Diceros bicornis minor: one gene and its partner. The protein of the gene in region 2 binds, or shares a complex with, the protein of the main gene of each other region. Links are inferred from orthologs where the notes say so. Each region holds a gene or a part of one and is shown on either strand. Other genes may lie near its edges.

Region 1 (7,846 bases), on a different chromosome or scaffold from region 2:
TTCTAGAGAGAAAAGGCTTTTGCGGCCCAGGCAGGTGGCTGACAGCTGCCTTTCTCCCTCCCCATTCCTCCCTCTTCAGCTCTCTCCACTCACCCCTGCCGGCAGCTCCAACACTCCTGGGTCTACCTCTGCAGCCTTTTCTTCCTGAACTGAGACCCTTGATCCCAACTGTCAACTGGATGGGTCCACCTGAGGTCCCACTAGGACCAGCAAAGCAGCACGTTTCAAACCCTCATTCCCAGACATCTCCAAGTGCTTTTCCCAATTTTCATCACCATTCTTCTTGTCACCTGGGCTGAAATCGTTTGCCTGGAAGCAGTCAGAGCTCCTCACTTCCGCAGAAAGAAGCCTAGCCTCTCTACCTGGCCCTCACAGCCCAATGCCTCCCCACCTCCTCGCCCATCACACCTCCCATGCCAGCTGTGTGCCGCCGTCTCTGGAGCCCACTGTCCTCTTCACTGACTACCGGGACTGCCTGTCTCCTCCACCTTCACAAACCCAATTTCTCCCCATTCCCCAGGCCCTTATCAAATGCCACCTCCTCCAAGATGCCTCCTTGATTCCTTAGCTGGAAATAACAATGATAACAGCTAACATGCATTGGTGATGGCCACGTGCCAGGCACAGAGCTAGCACTTCACATGCATTATCTCATTTCATCCGCTTAACAGCTGTGGGTGGAAATTATGATTTGTATCATCCCTGTTTTACAGCTAAGAAAACTGAGTCTCAGAGAGGTTAGCAAACTTTCCAAAGTCCTATACTCCACCTCAAACATAGCTCTGCTAAACTCTAGAACTCATGATTTTATGCACGACTCTCTCCCCTGAGTTACCCAAGACATTTTATCTGTTTTTTTTAACTGAATTGTTTGCCTTTTTTTATTATTGAATTGTAGCAGTTTTTTTTTTAAACTTTATTTATTTATTTTCCCCCCAAAGCCCCAGTAGATAGTTGTATGTCATAGTTCCACATCCTTCTAGTTGCTGTATGTGGGACGCAGCCTCAGCATGGCCGGAGAAGCGGTGCGTCAGTGCGCGCCCGGGATCCGAACCCGGGCCGCCAGCAGTGGAGCGCACGCACTTAACCGCTAAGCCACAGGGCCGGCCCCTATTTTATCTGTTTAAATGCTCTTCCTTGCATTGTAGTTAACTAGGTAAGTTCTTAAATCAGTTGTTTAAGAGCACGGTTTTGTTCTTTACTCTTATTTTCAACAAATAATATATATAAGTAGCTGACAACGTCAAATACTGTGGTATTCTATCTGGGCTTCCTGGGAAAGCCACCAGTCTTCAGCCCAGCCCTCCTCACTCCTGATTTCCAATTTCCTGTGGTTCCATGTCTCTTTCATCTCTGTACTTGGCCCACAGTGGGCGATCAATACATGTTAGCTGTTAGCCATCAAATACGTAGTAACTGTCATGTGCCAGGTGCTGCTCAATGAAGTTGTAGTTGCTGTCTTGAATTATCCCTCCTCCCTGGTCCCTAAACCCTGGCTCTTACCAGTCATCCCGCCCACCTTCTCCAGCCATGCCCAGGCCACGTCAGGTACTGACACTCAGGTGAACCAAGGAAGACTTGATGATCACTCTTTTCTGATGCCCGTGTCCGGCTGTATAAATTGGTTAGCATTAAGTTTGCCTGCATTTAGCAGAGACCCAAAATAACAGTGGCTTAGTCAAGACGGAGGTTATGTCTCTCACACACACAGCACAAGTCCAGAGATAGGCAGTCCAGACCAGTATGGCATCTCGGCTCCACGAAGTCCTCTGGGACCTGGGCTCCTCCAGCTCCTTACTCTTCCATTCATAAGGTGAGGCCCACATCCTCATGATCCAAGATGGCGCCAGAATGCTGGCTACCGCAGGCATCAGGATGGAGGAAGGGATGAAAAAGGAAGAGGCAAAGTCATCCAACATGAGAGCTGCCGCATGGCACTTCTGCTTTTATTTAATTGGCTAGAATTTAGTCACGTGGCCATACCTAGTTGGGAGAAACTGGGAAATATAGTATTTATTCTGGAGGCCACATCCCTATCTGAACTTGGATGTTCTATTACTTGGGAAGAATACATATTGGGGACAACTAGCAGGCAGCCTCTACTGAAAGGGTTAGGTGTGTTGGTGTGTGTGTGTATGTGCATGTATGATGTGGGTGTTGTGTGAGCATGTGTGTTATGTGTTGTGTGTGTTGGTGGGCCAGGTTGTCTCCATCACTTTTGTCTCAGATGGACCTGTTACACGTTCTCTCGGCAGTCTCCCATGGGGCTCCCCTAAACCTGGCCTCTCCTCTTAGGCAGACAGCAGCAGCTTCTCAATCCCGTGTTTCAAGGAACTGCAATTCATTTTCAGCATCCACTGAAGCATATTATCAGTGGTGATAGAGGGGGCTTATAAAACTGTTTTTCCATTTAGGTATTACAGGGTGGCCATTATGTGAGAGTGACTATGACCAGAGTTAACCTGGTAATAAATTCTCTTAGGAAGGAGGGTGTCATTAACTCATGAATCCTAGAAAAGGATATTGCTCAAGCTTTTGCTGCAGGAGGAAGGCCCAGAAATACCAGGCACCCTGTTGAGATGGTCCAGGAGAGGCAAAAGGCCAAATGCTAGATTCAGGGTTGGCTACAGGTAGTGTTGCCTGAGTGTTTCAAGCCCTGCCCAGTAATTACACAACTAAAAAAAATCTGACATTACCTCCACACTTTGGCCCACACACTCAATGGGCAGGGGCTCTACTGGTTCATCTCGTTTACTTTTTAGAGCCGGGTGGTGTTATGAGTTCCATTTTACTGATGGGAACAGATGCTTTAGGGAAGTTAAGTGTCTTGCCCAGAGACACAGCTAATGAGGGCAGAGCCCGCTGCTGAAGCCTTGGGGCCTAACCACTATGCTTTCCACCTTTGCTAGGGTTTCATGGAATCCTACTAGGGAGTTAGCACTATTTAACTGCATTCCACAAACACATGGTGGAAATGTTCACTCAGGTAATGAGTAGTTAATAGAGGGAGTTTTAACTTTTAAGAGAAAAAACAAGCACAAAAACATCTGAAGTGCCCCCTCCCAAACTCCTTAGTATTTTTCATATTTGAAGTTGATATGGGGGTGCCATCTCATAGCTTCCTCCTAGAGCAGGTATTAGTTCCCAAGTGCCATGGTCCCAAGACGTACCCTCAGTCGGGCATTGGAGTGGTTTGTAACTCGGGCTTTGCCTTAAAGGCCAGAGAAACTGGGGGGAGGGGGGCAAGTAGGAAGCAACCTAGCCCTTCTGAATCCCAGGATTCACCCCTGGGATGTCTGGGTGTGAATCCGGCTCTACCACTCACCCGTTTGACTTCGGGCAATTAACACATCTTCTTGAGTCTCATTTTTCCCTTTCTATAAAATTCAGATAAAAATCATACCTTTGATCAAGCATTATAAATAATATATAAGCAGACTGCTTATTTCTATTATATTGCCATTATATGGATTATACTACTATTGCCACCTATGGACAGAAAATGTATTACCTATTTTTATCAAGACCTAGATCAGGTAAAACACAAAAAGCAGAGATTAGCTTTTTGCCATCTCCAGAACCTTCATGCCAATATTTACTTACATTTGATTATTGCTTCAGGCCCATCCACACATACTTAGCGTGGATCATTGGCCACAGACTCGTGTACGTTTAACTGTATTACTTTTTGCCTCATGAATCTCATTAAAAATTTGCTGCTTAATCAAGGATCTGCGTATTATTAATGTTAGAATTCATGGTTCCATGACTTTGGAAGTTTCAAATATTCTGAGTGACATGTTATACATTCTCTCCTGCCTCCATGCCTTTGCACCAGCTGCTTTCTTGGCCGTCATGGCAACCACTTTCTACTCTTACTAACTCCTACTCGGTATTTAATTTTTTTTTTTTTAATTTAATTAATTTATTTTTTCCCCCAAAGCCCCACTACATAGTTGTATGTCATAGCTGCACATCCTTCTAGTTGCTGCATGTGGGGCGCGGCCTCAGCATGGCCGGAGAAGCGGTGCATCGGTGCGCGCCCGGGATCGAACCTGGGCCACCAGCAGCAGATCACGCGCACTTAACCTCTAAGCCACGGAGCCGGCCCTACTCGGTATTTAATACCCTGCTCAGGCGACACCTCTTCCAGGGAGCCCCCTTTGTACACCCGTGATATCCTGTACTTGTCTTTCTTGCAAAGCTCTTTCTTCCTGTATTGGAATGGCCTGTTTACCTGTTTCTCTCTCCTATTAAATTGTAAGCAACTTAAGAACATCTGTTGTTCACTATTATGTCCTTGGTGCCTAGCACTGCATCTGACATATTATCAGATCTCCCATAAGTACTGGTTGGCTTCACACTCCCGGTGAGAGAGAAAGGAAGTAATAAAGGCAATGATAAATGCCATCATGGAGATATCAGCAGGCTGCTGTGGGAGAGTAATGGAGAGGACAAGTAACATAATCTCTAACAAGAGGGTGGTGATAGAGTATGTCTCACAACACCTCTCAAGCTCTTTCACGTGCATTATCTAATTTGATCCTCGTAGAAGCCTGGAGATAGGTATGTTGCAGGGGTGGAAGGTAGAGTTTTTAGCAGCTATGTGATATGCCTAAAGTCATGCAGCTAGTAAAGGGCTGGATTCAAACCAGACCTTAAAAGCCCATTCTCCTCCTTAAAGCACACAGTGCGTCACTTCATCATCACAATGTCCCTTTGCTCACACCCTGGCTTATTGCTTTGTGGTCTACAGCACACCTCATCGTGGTTTTATTGATCAAGCCTTGCATCTCCCCAAGAGAATGCATTTCATTAATGTATTTCTAGATAATGAATTGTCTTTGACTCTGAGGAGATGATAGCCAGGGCAGAAAGAAATCTCATTTTTATCCACATCTGGTAATGTGGTTGGTCATGGCATAGGGGTGTTTTCTGAGATATCAGCAATTTTCAATGTATAGTTCCTTCTGTTTTCAGGACCAAGAAGCACATTCTGGAAGGAAAATGCATTGTGGACCGCTGTACCAATTCCTGTGGCTTTGGCCCTATCTGTTCTACATTGAAGCTGTGCCCATCCAAAAAGTCCAGGATGACACCAAAACCCTCATCAAGACGATTGTCACCAGGATCAATGACATTTCACACACGGTAGGGAGGGTCTGGGGAGATGAAGTAGAACTGTGGCTGGCCCACGGGGACACCAGGACCTCAGAGGTTAGCTGAGGCCTGTGCAGCAACATGTAGGGGCCATGGTGGCCTTGACTTCTCCCTACTGCATGAGCAGCTGCCTCTTTTCTTCCTCTCCCCTCTGTCTCCCGCCACCTCCTTACTCTCCTTCCTCCCCGACCTGAATCCCAGGATTCACTTCCTTGAATCCTAGTGCCTAGAACCAGAGGATACATAAAAGTCCTTGTGTTCCATTGGTAGGTGACCAGACCCCCAGCAGCATCCTCTCTGGGCCTATCCCATCTCTAGAACGTGCTTATCAGTAGGCGGTCTTCCTGGTTGAGCTGAACTCTGGCCCTGTGCCGCTTCCCCGATTACTGCTAGTCCTGCCTGTCAGGCCACACAGAAAAGCAAGTCTACCCTCTTTCACATACAACCTTCTGTGTATCTGCAAACAGCTGTCAATGCCCCCTGGGTCTTTGCTCTGGGGCTGACAGATCTAGACCTTCAGCCGTTTCCCAGGTGAGTTCTGTATTTGGAATTAGGGAGACTAAGTGTGAATCTTCACACTTCTGTTCTCTGTCTGTAAAACCTTAAGCTGGATCCTCAATGTCTTTAAGCCCTGGTTTCATCATCAAGATATTGAGACTATCGTAAGGTCCTCACAAGGTTGCTATGAGATTAAATTAGATAAAGCAAGTGAAAACACCTCCCACCACCCCCGCCCCACCCTGCAGAATCAGAAGAGAGTGTGCCCTCATTAAAGGTTTGCAGTTGTGTTTTTTGGTAGCCCCCAGCCTTAAAAGCCTGCTTGTTCACCCTGCATGGAGCAATCTGGAGACTTCCACATCTCCTGGCTACTGTGGATGACTCACAGTGGCCTTGTGCAGCCAGGAAGAAGTTAGGTGGCCAGAAGCAGGGACAGCTCAGAGCTAGATAGTCTTGGGAATTTCATACAGAGAAACCCTTAAGTCTCCTTGCTTTAAAAATAGTCATCCGAAAGGCTGCACGTGATAGATCCAGAGCATCCCAACCTGTGTGGTGCAGGGAGTGAGTGCTGCGGGCAGGGGGGAAGGGGAGTTACCCTCCTGGTAACCAGAGTTACTGGAGCAGAGGAGTGAGGTGGGGCACTTGCTGGGGGGACAGCCTTGACCCCTAAGGGGGTGAGACTCCATGGAGATCCTGATTGGGAGGGAGGAGTCCGCAGGGGGTGGAAGGGAACGAGGATGGCTGGGGAGGGGGCGCTATAGAGGACTTCAGATGCCTGAGGTAGAGACTAAACTAAGTAAGAAATAGGGAGCTCTGGCTGGTTCTATAGCAGAGGCCATTTGGAGAAGGAAACGACCTGAGAAGTTTGGTCTGGAGGTGGGAGGCAGGGTGGTTTGGGAAAGACGGGAAGACAGAAGGCCAGGAGGCCAGCTTGGAGGCTTGGCAGCCACCTGGGCATAAGAAGTAAGGCCTAGGCCAGGATGGTGCCAAAGAGGGAAAGGAGGCAACCAAGAAAGTGAGCCTCCGTGCTCGTGGGAAATACTGAGGGCTTTGCAGAATTCACTCTCTCCCGCCTCGCTAAGCTCTTGCTCTCCCTCTTCCTCCTGCACAGCAGTCAGTCTCCTCCAAACAGAGGGTCACTGGTTTGGACTTCATTCCTGGGCTTCACCCTGTCCTAAGTTTGTCCAAGATGGACCAGACATTGGCGATCTACCAACAGATCCTTACGAGTCTGCCTTCCAGAAATGTGATCCAAATATCTAATGACCTGGAGAACCTCCGGGACCTTCTCCACCTGCTGGCCTCCTCCAAGAGCTGCCCCTTGCCTCAGGCTAGGGGCCTGGAGACGTTGGTGAGCCTGGGCGGTGTCCTGGAAGCCTCCCTCTACTCCACAGAGGTGGTGGCCCTGAGCAGGCTGCAGGGGTCTCTGCAGGACATGCTGCAGCAGCTGGACCTCACCCCTGGGTGCTGATGTCCTGAAGGCCTCTCTTCCCCCAAGGACCAAAGTCAAAGGAAGAAACCTGGGCTCCCAGGTGTCTCCAAGAGAAGAGAGCCCGTGTGGACATCCTTCATCCAGGACTCCAGTCTGTTTCTCTGTCACTCCTCTAAGCCGCCCTTCCAAAGGCATAAGACTTCAAGGCAAGTTGCTTGAAACCAAAGATATAAATACCTGATTCCATGCTCACCCATCCAGCAAACAGTGGACTGGATCTGGGATTCTCACCAGTCTTCCTCTCTGTTCTACCTCCCCTCTCACTGCATGCTTCAGTGTGACCTGGGATGATCTCAGGAGGTGGGCTGCAGAGCCTTTGGACGATCAAGCAAGGTTCCGTCTGAGAACTCTGGGGAGCACCATGAAGGCTACATCCACGCTTAGCTGGAAACTCTCAAGCAACACAAGTTGGAAACATTTATTTATTATGCATTTTATTCTGGATGGATTTGAAGCCAAACGTTACCTTTTCCAGGCTCTTTGGGGTTGGCCAGGGCTAGGGATGCTCCTGGGGTGCTGTTACCAGTCCCATCAATAGGCCTGGCCAAGGCAAATCCACTTCAAGTGACTTGAGGGCTCTCCAGTAAGTTCTCTCATAACTGGCTTTGTTTCTACTGTGACTTTAAACTACAGTGTTTGCAATGGCATTGCCCTGAGTGGATCTCCAAGGGCCAGGTTATTTTAAAAAGAAGAAGA
Region 2 (7,891 bases):
CGACGGAGGGCAGCGGATAAAAGCCGGGAGACCAGTTAGGAGGTCCTTGCAATAATCCTTGTGGGAGATGATGGTGGCCACCCTGGAGGTGATGAAAGTAATTACATCCAGATTTATTTTGAAGACAGAGCACAGAGGATTTCCTGACACATTACATCTGAGGCATGAGGGAATGGGAGAAATCAAAGACGACTCCAAGGTTTGGGCCTGAGCAACTTGAAGGATGGAGATGGGGAAAACTACAGATAGAGCAGGCTTGGGCAAGATGAAGCTTCCATTTGGAGCACGTTAAGCTGAAGATGTCTACAAGACATCCAAATGGAAATGCTGAGTAGGCAGGTGGATATAGAGGTCTGAAGTTCAGGGAGAGAAGTCAAGGCTTAAGCTATCATTTTGGAGTTATCAGTATACAAATACAGAGATTGCATGAAATCATCAAAGAGTGTAGAGAGAAGAGAGCTCCCAGGGACTAAAGCTTAAGGCATTCTATGGTTAAAACCTCTAAGAGAAGAGAGACCAGCAAAGGAGACAGACAGGAGCGGCCAGTGAAGGAGGAAAATCAAGAGTGGTGTCCTGGGAGTCAATGAGGAAATATTACCAAGAACACAGAGCGATAACTGTGACAATGCCACCAATAGGTGAAGTAAGATCAACACTGACAACGGACTATTGGATTTAGGAAAGGGGATGTCACTGGTGACCACAACAGGAACGGCTTTGGCAGAGAACTGAAAACAAAAGATTGATAGGAATGGGTTTGAGAGAGAATGTAAAGAGCTGAACTGATGATAGGGAATACAGACAACTCTTTTCAAAAGTTTTTGCTTTAAAAGGGAGCAAAGAAATGGCTTAATCTCACAAACATAATGTTAAGCAAAAGAATCTATGAAAGAATGCCTCCTATATTCATATAAGATTTTTTTTAAGGTAAAACTAAACATGAACAGGAAGAAACAAGCAAGAGGTTTCTGGGTATTGGCATGCTGTCTTACCTGTGTGGTGAATAATGGGGTATTTGCCTTATAATTATCTGTTACAACAATTTGCTATGTTATTTGTCAACAAGTACATTTGTTTTATGTACCTCTTACCCCTGTATATGTCATAGTACAAAGTGTTAAAAAAAATTAAAGATTAATATGATCATGCGTGTGAAAAAATAGATAATATCATCACTGAATCACAGAAGTTTTAAAAAGTATTTGAGAAGGAATATTCCAAGTTATAAGCAAACCAAACTTAAATTGAAACTCCAAAAGGTTATATGTACTAGGTCTGGCCAGTAGGGGAACCTTGGTGCCTTTCTGATTTAATTAAAAGCGGAATTTGTAAATCGCATAAAATCTTAAGAATTAGAGCAGATTGTAAGCCCTTTTCTTCATTTTTAACTCCACAGGATATATTTTTTTAGTGTGTGTGCGTGGCTCTCAGTATGAAAAATGCACTACAGTGTCTGCCAAGACAATTCTTTTTTTCCTGGATATTTTTAAGTTTTATTTCCAAGACCCCCCCACCCTGAGATATTGCACTTCACAAACACAAACCATTTGGTTATATAACAGTGACCTAAGTATGAAGACATGACTGTTTCTTCTCAGTAAATTCATTACAAAAGCTTCTGCCAACCCTGATGACGCTCCCACACCATGAATGAGTTGGCTGTGGACCGTGAGTGGTCAGATCCATCCACTATTTTCGGTTGTTTTCCAGCGAGCACCTAGAAGCCAGGGCATTGAAGTTCCACTACTCTCTGTTCATTCAGCACCCAATTTACTTAACTCTCGGCATCTGTTTCAAAGGGGATGATCGTCTACTTCACCAGAGAATACGAGGCAAGACAAATTCCAGCCCAAAGGAAAAGGCAATGAAAATTAGTTTAAATATGTTCATTAAAAGTACTTCAAATCCATTCCACTCTCCCAAACTGCGTACACAGCACACACTGGGTGGAAACACCTTATTTTATTTTAGATCAAAGCCACCAAAATGAGCCAGAGATGCTTCTAAACCTCTCCAAACTACTGATGACTAGGTCTCAAATAATTTTGAATTACTAGTAACAACAAAAGCTATTCGAACATTTTGTCTGCTCAACAAGCCAACTGTTGTTTGTTGTCTGTTTTTGATCAAAAGGAAATAAAAGGTTCACTGACACTTTATAGTACACACTTCTTGTACAACTTCGTGTGTGTGTCAATTCCTAATTTCTGGTTTATCTGTTTAGTTAACCTCTGCTATTTTCTGGGATTCATTCCAAGAACTGAAATGCATTACTAAAATTGGCATCTCTGCCATCGAGCTTAATTTCGGAGAGGCTCTGAAGTGGTCTGAAACCATTTTTTTAATATTCTGCACACAACTTTATGCTAAAAAGTAAGACACTGTTCAAAAGCAGTACTTGACAGGAAAGGTGCAATTTTTGTTTTCCTCCAGAACAATTTGTATTTCCTCCAAATGTACAATACTGAAAGAGAATAAGTATTATGCTAAAGACACGTTTTTGTTGCAGTGATGCAAATACTGGCTTCAAGTTGAACATGATTCTTTAAGGTAGAGTGATCTAAATATTTACATGGAAACTATATATTTCTGAAATCTTTTATGAGTGTTTTTAACTTTGGGTTGGAAAACCCTAAAAGCATAAGTCATAAACACATGTAAACAAAATGCCAAGATCTATATAGATTTTTTTCAATTTCATGAAATTATGAATCTAGCAATGTTTTAACATGTTAAAGAGTTAAAGAATTATAAATTTTTAAGTTGGGAAACATCTCGGATCTATTAAAAGGCCCTCAGAATCTTAATCCAACCCTCTAATTTGACAGATGAGGAAACAGGAGGCCCAGAGAGGTTAAGTTAATACAGCTGTTGTGGATAATAAAGGGCAAATCATACCAAAACCCAGACATTCACCTCCAAGTCCAGGGCTCTGAAAGAGTATTTGTTTCATAATACTTATGGAAATAAAGGTTAACGGAGGACACTCCAGGCAACCCCTCAATATAAGGAACTCCCTCAGGCTTCCAGGAGCCAGACTCATCTTCTATTTGCAAACACACATCCTAGCAATAGCACCAGCAATGATCAGTTTCTCAGACGGCCTCCTCATACCCGGGGTATCCAAAGTGCCTCCTCAGTTGGGTCTCTTTTTCTCACCTCTACAAACCCCTTTCAATGAGCGCTTTGGAGGAGACTGGGTTTTGTTCCGTTTTTTAAATTTGCTTGGGGAGAGCAGGGGAGGGTGGAAAACAGAGGCTCAGCTCTAAACCTACAGCACAAGTTTTTTCGTCTGTCATCCAAACCAACAAATCCTTCCTCCGGGCCCCAGGGCTTACTGGTTTATGTCGCCGTCCCTGTAGTTTCCAAAGTAGGAAGGAGACCTGGAAAAGAAGTTGCCCGGGTGGCACGTCCTTTCGGTGGCGCTCAGCAGGTGCGCGCCCAGGCTCGGCGGGCTGCCCTCAGCCGCGCGCCCCGACCCTCCTGCCCCGGGAGCCTCCCGATCCCCGGCCGCCCGCCGGGCTCTGGCCCCTCTGGTGGCGCCGCCGGGCGGGCTCCGGACTCCCGGTCCCCAAGTGGCCCGCGGGCTCCGCGCGGCTCCGCGCGCCCCAGCGCCCGCTCCCCGAGCCGCCGGGAGCGGGACGAGGAGGCGGGAGCGGGAGGAGAGAGAAGGGGCCCACCTGGATGCCGGTCCCACGCGGGCGGAAGGCAGAGATGGCGGCGGCACGCGGCTCGGGCACCTGCGTCGCTCGCGCTCGGGCGGCCGTGGCTCTGCGGTGCGGCGGCTCCAAACTCCTCGCCAAGGTGCCGGGCAACTCTCCGGAGAGAGGAGGGCAGCGGAGGGCGGGAGGCGGGGCGGGGGGGCGCGGGGAGAAGGAGGGGAGAGGGAGGGAAGAGCCGGGGCCGCCCGCGCGCCCCGCGCCCGCCGCCACCGCCCCGGGGCGGGAGGAGCGGACCCCGAGCGGCGGGGGCGGTCGCGCAGGTGACCGGGGGCGGCGGCGGGCAGTGCCTGGGGAGGAGAAGCGGGGCGCTCGGGAAGGGGACCCTGCCCGCCCGGAGGCCGAGAGCCGAGGCGAACCCAGCGGGGAGGCGGCGCCGCTACTGCACCCGGCGGTCAGCTGCAGCGCGCCCACCTGAGCCCGTGGTTCCCAGGCTCTGGGCCAGGCACTGGGCTTCCCTCTGATCCTCCCACTTCCAGACCTCCAGGTCTCTGCTGCATCCGGTGTGCACAATGCTACGATAAAGATTGCTATAATTGGGAGGAGGGGGAAAGGAAAGCGAAATGGAAAAGACCAGAAGTAGCGAGGTAGTGAGTTTCCTGTCAAGGATGTTTCAGCCAAGCATTTTGGTCGTGCTTGTCAGAAAGGCTGAAGAGGGCCCTCATGCATCTAGTGGGGGTTGGACTAAATGGCCACTTCTCTTTCAATCTTGAAATTCAATGGCTTTTGACATAGCAAGGAAAAAAAAATGAAAATTAAGAAATCCATCCTTGAACAGTCTGATTCCAATCCCAGTAATAGACATTTTCTTGCTCTCCACTAGAAATGTTCACTCATTGATTTGCTTCTTTATTAATACATTTTTAATGAGGACCTACTGTGTGCCAGACAATATGCTAGGTGGGGTTGTCATGTGCCTTGAGCTTGAAGTTATGACAGACAGACATGCAAGTATTCATATAATTACCACTCAGGATGGGTGATTTAAAGGAAACCAACAGGATGAGGAAGAAAGAATAAAGGGGAGTGGACATTCTCTAGATAGAGTGGATGGTTAATTTTCAAAGGTCTCTATAAGTGAACTCACCTAACACCCTCATAGGAAGAGACATCAAAGGCATAGAGAAAAAGCAGTCCAGAGATGGGCAGGGACGGAAGCCGTGCCTCCTGGCTCCCTGGACCAGCCACCTTGCCATCTTGTGAAGCTTTGTAAATGGAACCTTTCCCCCACAGGAATATCCTCCCAGGACCAGTGTCAATTTTCTGAAGAGCGTTTAGATCTCCAGACCACTTATCAAGGCCACTTTATTCAGAAATTTCATATTTGTGCACTGAATGGACTTTCTGGGGCATCTGTGTAGGCAAAAATAACCCAGAAGCACTAACCTTTGGGTTTTCATCAAACCTCAAAAAACAGCCAAATGTCTCCATTGGATCAAGATAAGAGTTGGAGCAGAGATACTGACTTCCCCAAATTATTATGAAATAAAACAACACAACAGAATCCTTAATTAGATAATCAGTATGAACTAACACATTAGTTTCCTAGGGCTGCCTTGAAAAATGACTACAGACTTCATGCTTAAAACAGCAGAAATTTATTCTCTCCCTGTTCTGGAGGCCAGAAATCCAAAATCAATGTGCATCAGGTCCACACTCCCTCCCAGAGCTCTAGGAGAGAATCCTTCCTTGCCTCGTCCAGCTTCTGGTGGCGTCAGAAATTCATTGCCTTGCCGCTGCATTACTCCAGTCTCTGCCTTCCGTCTTCACACGGCCTTCTCCTTTGTGTCTGTTGTCTTCTCTTCTGTCTACCGTAAGGACATTTGTCATTGGATTTAGGGACCATCCAGATAATCCAGGATGATCTCAGCTCAGATCCTTATTTAATTACATCTGCAAAGACCCTTTATCCAAATGAGGTCACATTCACAGGTTCTGGGGTTTAGGATGTGGACCTATTTTGGGGGGGAACCACCATTCAACCCACTAAAGCTAGTAAACTAATAGGGACAAAAGTCATTGTCTACTGTGGTATCAGGGTGTCATTCCAACACCATTATTCAAAATTATATTGATACTAAGTATAACTAATTATTTTGTTGTAAACTACTAAAAATAAGTATCATTAAACCTGGGCATTCTGAGGAAAAACTACCATAAGGAAAAGAAGTACAGAGGCCCAAGCCTTCAGTTCATGTTTGAGTCACAGGGGATACTTGAAGGCCAAGGGTGGCTCCTCAGAAGCTACTGTTGTTACATGAATGCAGAGGTACCCCCCACATCCATGTGTATGGATTTCTGATAATGTGATCCACTGCTAAGTGTCCGCCAGGCGCCGGGCTCTGAGTCAGGAGCTCTCAGCGGGCTTACATGCCAGGTCAGGGGGCACTTTTGAATCTCATTCCCTTTGGCACAGATATGCCTGCTGCATACCTGAAGCGTGATAAAGAGTTGTCAAATGAATAGGTGAGTAAAAGAAATCATTACCAATCAGGTAGGCAATTATTACCACACTGGAGAACATCTATAATAAGAAGATAGGATTTATTAGAGCAAAACAGATTAACACCCTGACTCATTCAGTATTTTCTCGAGTGAGAGAAAAATCCTTAAAAGGAAACCTTTGATTTAAAAAAGAAAATAATGAGATCACCTATCTTCTCTTTTTAAAAAAAAATCAATAATATGCCTATTTGCACAGATACAGATCCTGCTGGGAACAATCAATCATGACTGAAGTTATAGTTACTTAAAGTGAATAAAATATTTTGTCCAAGTATTTCACTTGATATTTCAAAAACATAAACATTATTCAACTATTAATGTCATAATATTGATACAACATTTTTTTTTAAGTTTTTCTTTTTTTCCCCCCCTGGGAAAGATTCACTCTAGCTAACATCTGTTGCCAATCTTCCCCTCCTTCATTTTCCTCCCCAAAGCCCCAGTACATAGCTGTATATTCTAGTTGTAAGTCCTAGTTCTTCTACATGAGGCACCGCCACAGCATGGCTACTGACAGAGTGGTGTGGTTCTGTGCCGGGAACTGGCCTGGGCAGCCGAAGCAGAGGGCGCTGAACTAACCACTGGGCCATCAGGGCTGGCTCTGATGCAACATTTCTTGAAACTCTTTACAAACAATGATATCAGTGACTCAACTCTCTTCTGGTTCACCTCTTCCCTCTTTGACTTTCTTTCTCACTCTTCCATTCTTTCAGTTTTAAACGATCAACCAATATGTTAATAACTACCAAACTGAATCTCATTCATCAACTTATTAGGGTCACGGGCCCATGCCTGAACCAGTCACAGTGGCCAATGAGTTGGAATATGATGACCATCCAGGTGTGAGTCACCTGTGCACTCCTGGAAAACAGGGAGCGGGAGGAAAGTTGACCTCACCCTAACCAAAGAATTTAGAGTGGGGGGAGAGTGGTACCCCAAAATAAAATGAAGGTGCTCTTACTGAAGGGGAAGTGGACAAAAAGCACAGATATCCACTACAATAGAACTCAAAAAGGTTTGTTGTTAACTGAATATAGTTTTAATTAAACTATTAAACTTCACCCTCTCTATGGTGTTCTAAATGTTTTCTAGAAAGTTGTTTTAAATGAAATGATAATTATAAATATTGATTACATGTTTAATTACTACAGAAATCTTAAAAATTTACAATTATGAAGGACTTTGAAAAATGCTTTTAGATGCGTCGGAGGCCATATAGTCAAGCTGTGGGCTCTGGAATCTGATTGTGTGAGCTTTTACGCACATTTATTATGAGACCTTGAATAAGTTCTTACCCTCTTTCTGTCTCAGTTTCCTTTTTTGTAAAATGGAGAAGATAATAATCACCTCTCTGAAATGTCATGAAACGTAAGGAGATAATAACTATGACTTTAGAATAGTACTTCTTACCTAGTACTCTACTATGTTTGCTCATTATTAATCTCACTCAGTCTTCACAGCATCCCTGGAAACCATTTCGGGTAGTTGTACTTTGATTATTTATTTTTCCATTAATAGATAATCAGTATCTATTATGTATCAGGTACCATTACCAAGATAAACAGCATGGGTCCACGAGGAGTCAAGTGAGGATTCCCATAGTTCAACCAGGTCAGTGTAGGCACCACATGCGGGGGAGCAGAGCATGGAAGGAAAGGACAGAGGAG

What was found. The genes of interacting proteins can lie anywhere in the genome.
Region 1: the proteins of LEPR (region 2) and LEP are in contact, whole or in part, in a crystal structure (PDB 7Z3R), measured with the Mus musculus proteins. The link is inferred for Diceros bicornis minor from reciprocal best matches to the Homo sapiens genes LEPR and LEP. Residues at the interface, in NP_666258.2 of Mus musculus: Tyr439, Leu440, Thr441, Arg466, Ser468, Leu469, Tyr470, Gln499, Pro500, Ile501, Phe502, Leu503, Leu504, Ser505, Val560, Phe561, Glu563, Asn564; in NP_032519.1 of Mus musculus: Lys26, Val27, Asp30, Thr33, Leu34, Lys36, Thr37, Thr40, Arg41, Gln92, Gln96, Asn99, Asp100, Glu102, Asn103, Asp106, Leu107, Leu110.

Annotation. Positions count from the first base shown.
Region 1 is NC_080742.1:77,267,018-77,274,863, forward strand, and holds LEP (leptin), read left to right. Parts: upstream 1-5,007; coding exon 5,008-5,151; intron 5,152-6,769; coding exon 6,770-7,129; downstream 7,130-7,846. UniProt on the Homo sapiens protein: Key player in the regulation of energy balance and body weight control. Once released into the circulation, has central and peripheral effects by binding LEPR, found in many tissues, which results in the activation of several major signaling pathways.
Region 2 is NC_080743.1:4,667,730-4,675,620, reverse strand, and holds the start of LEPR (leptin receptor), read right to left. Parts: upstream 3,389-7,891; 5' UTR 3,339-3,388; intron 1-3,338. UniProt on the Homo sapiens protein: Receptor for hormone LEP/leptin. On ligand binding, mediates LEP central and peripheral effects through the activation of different signaling pathways such as JAK2/STAT3 and MAPK cascade/FOS.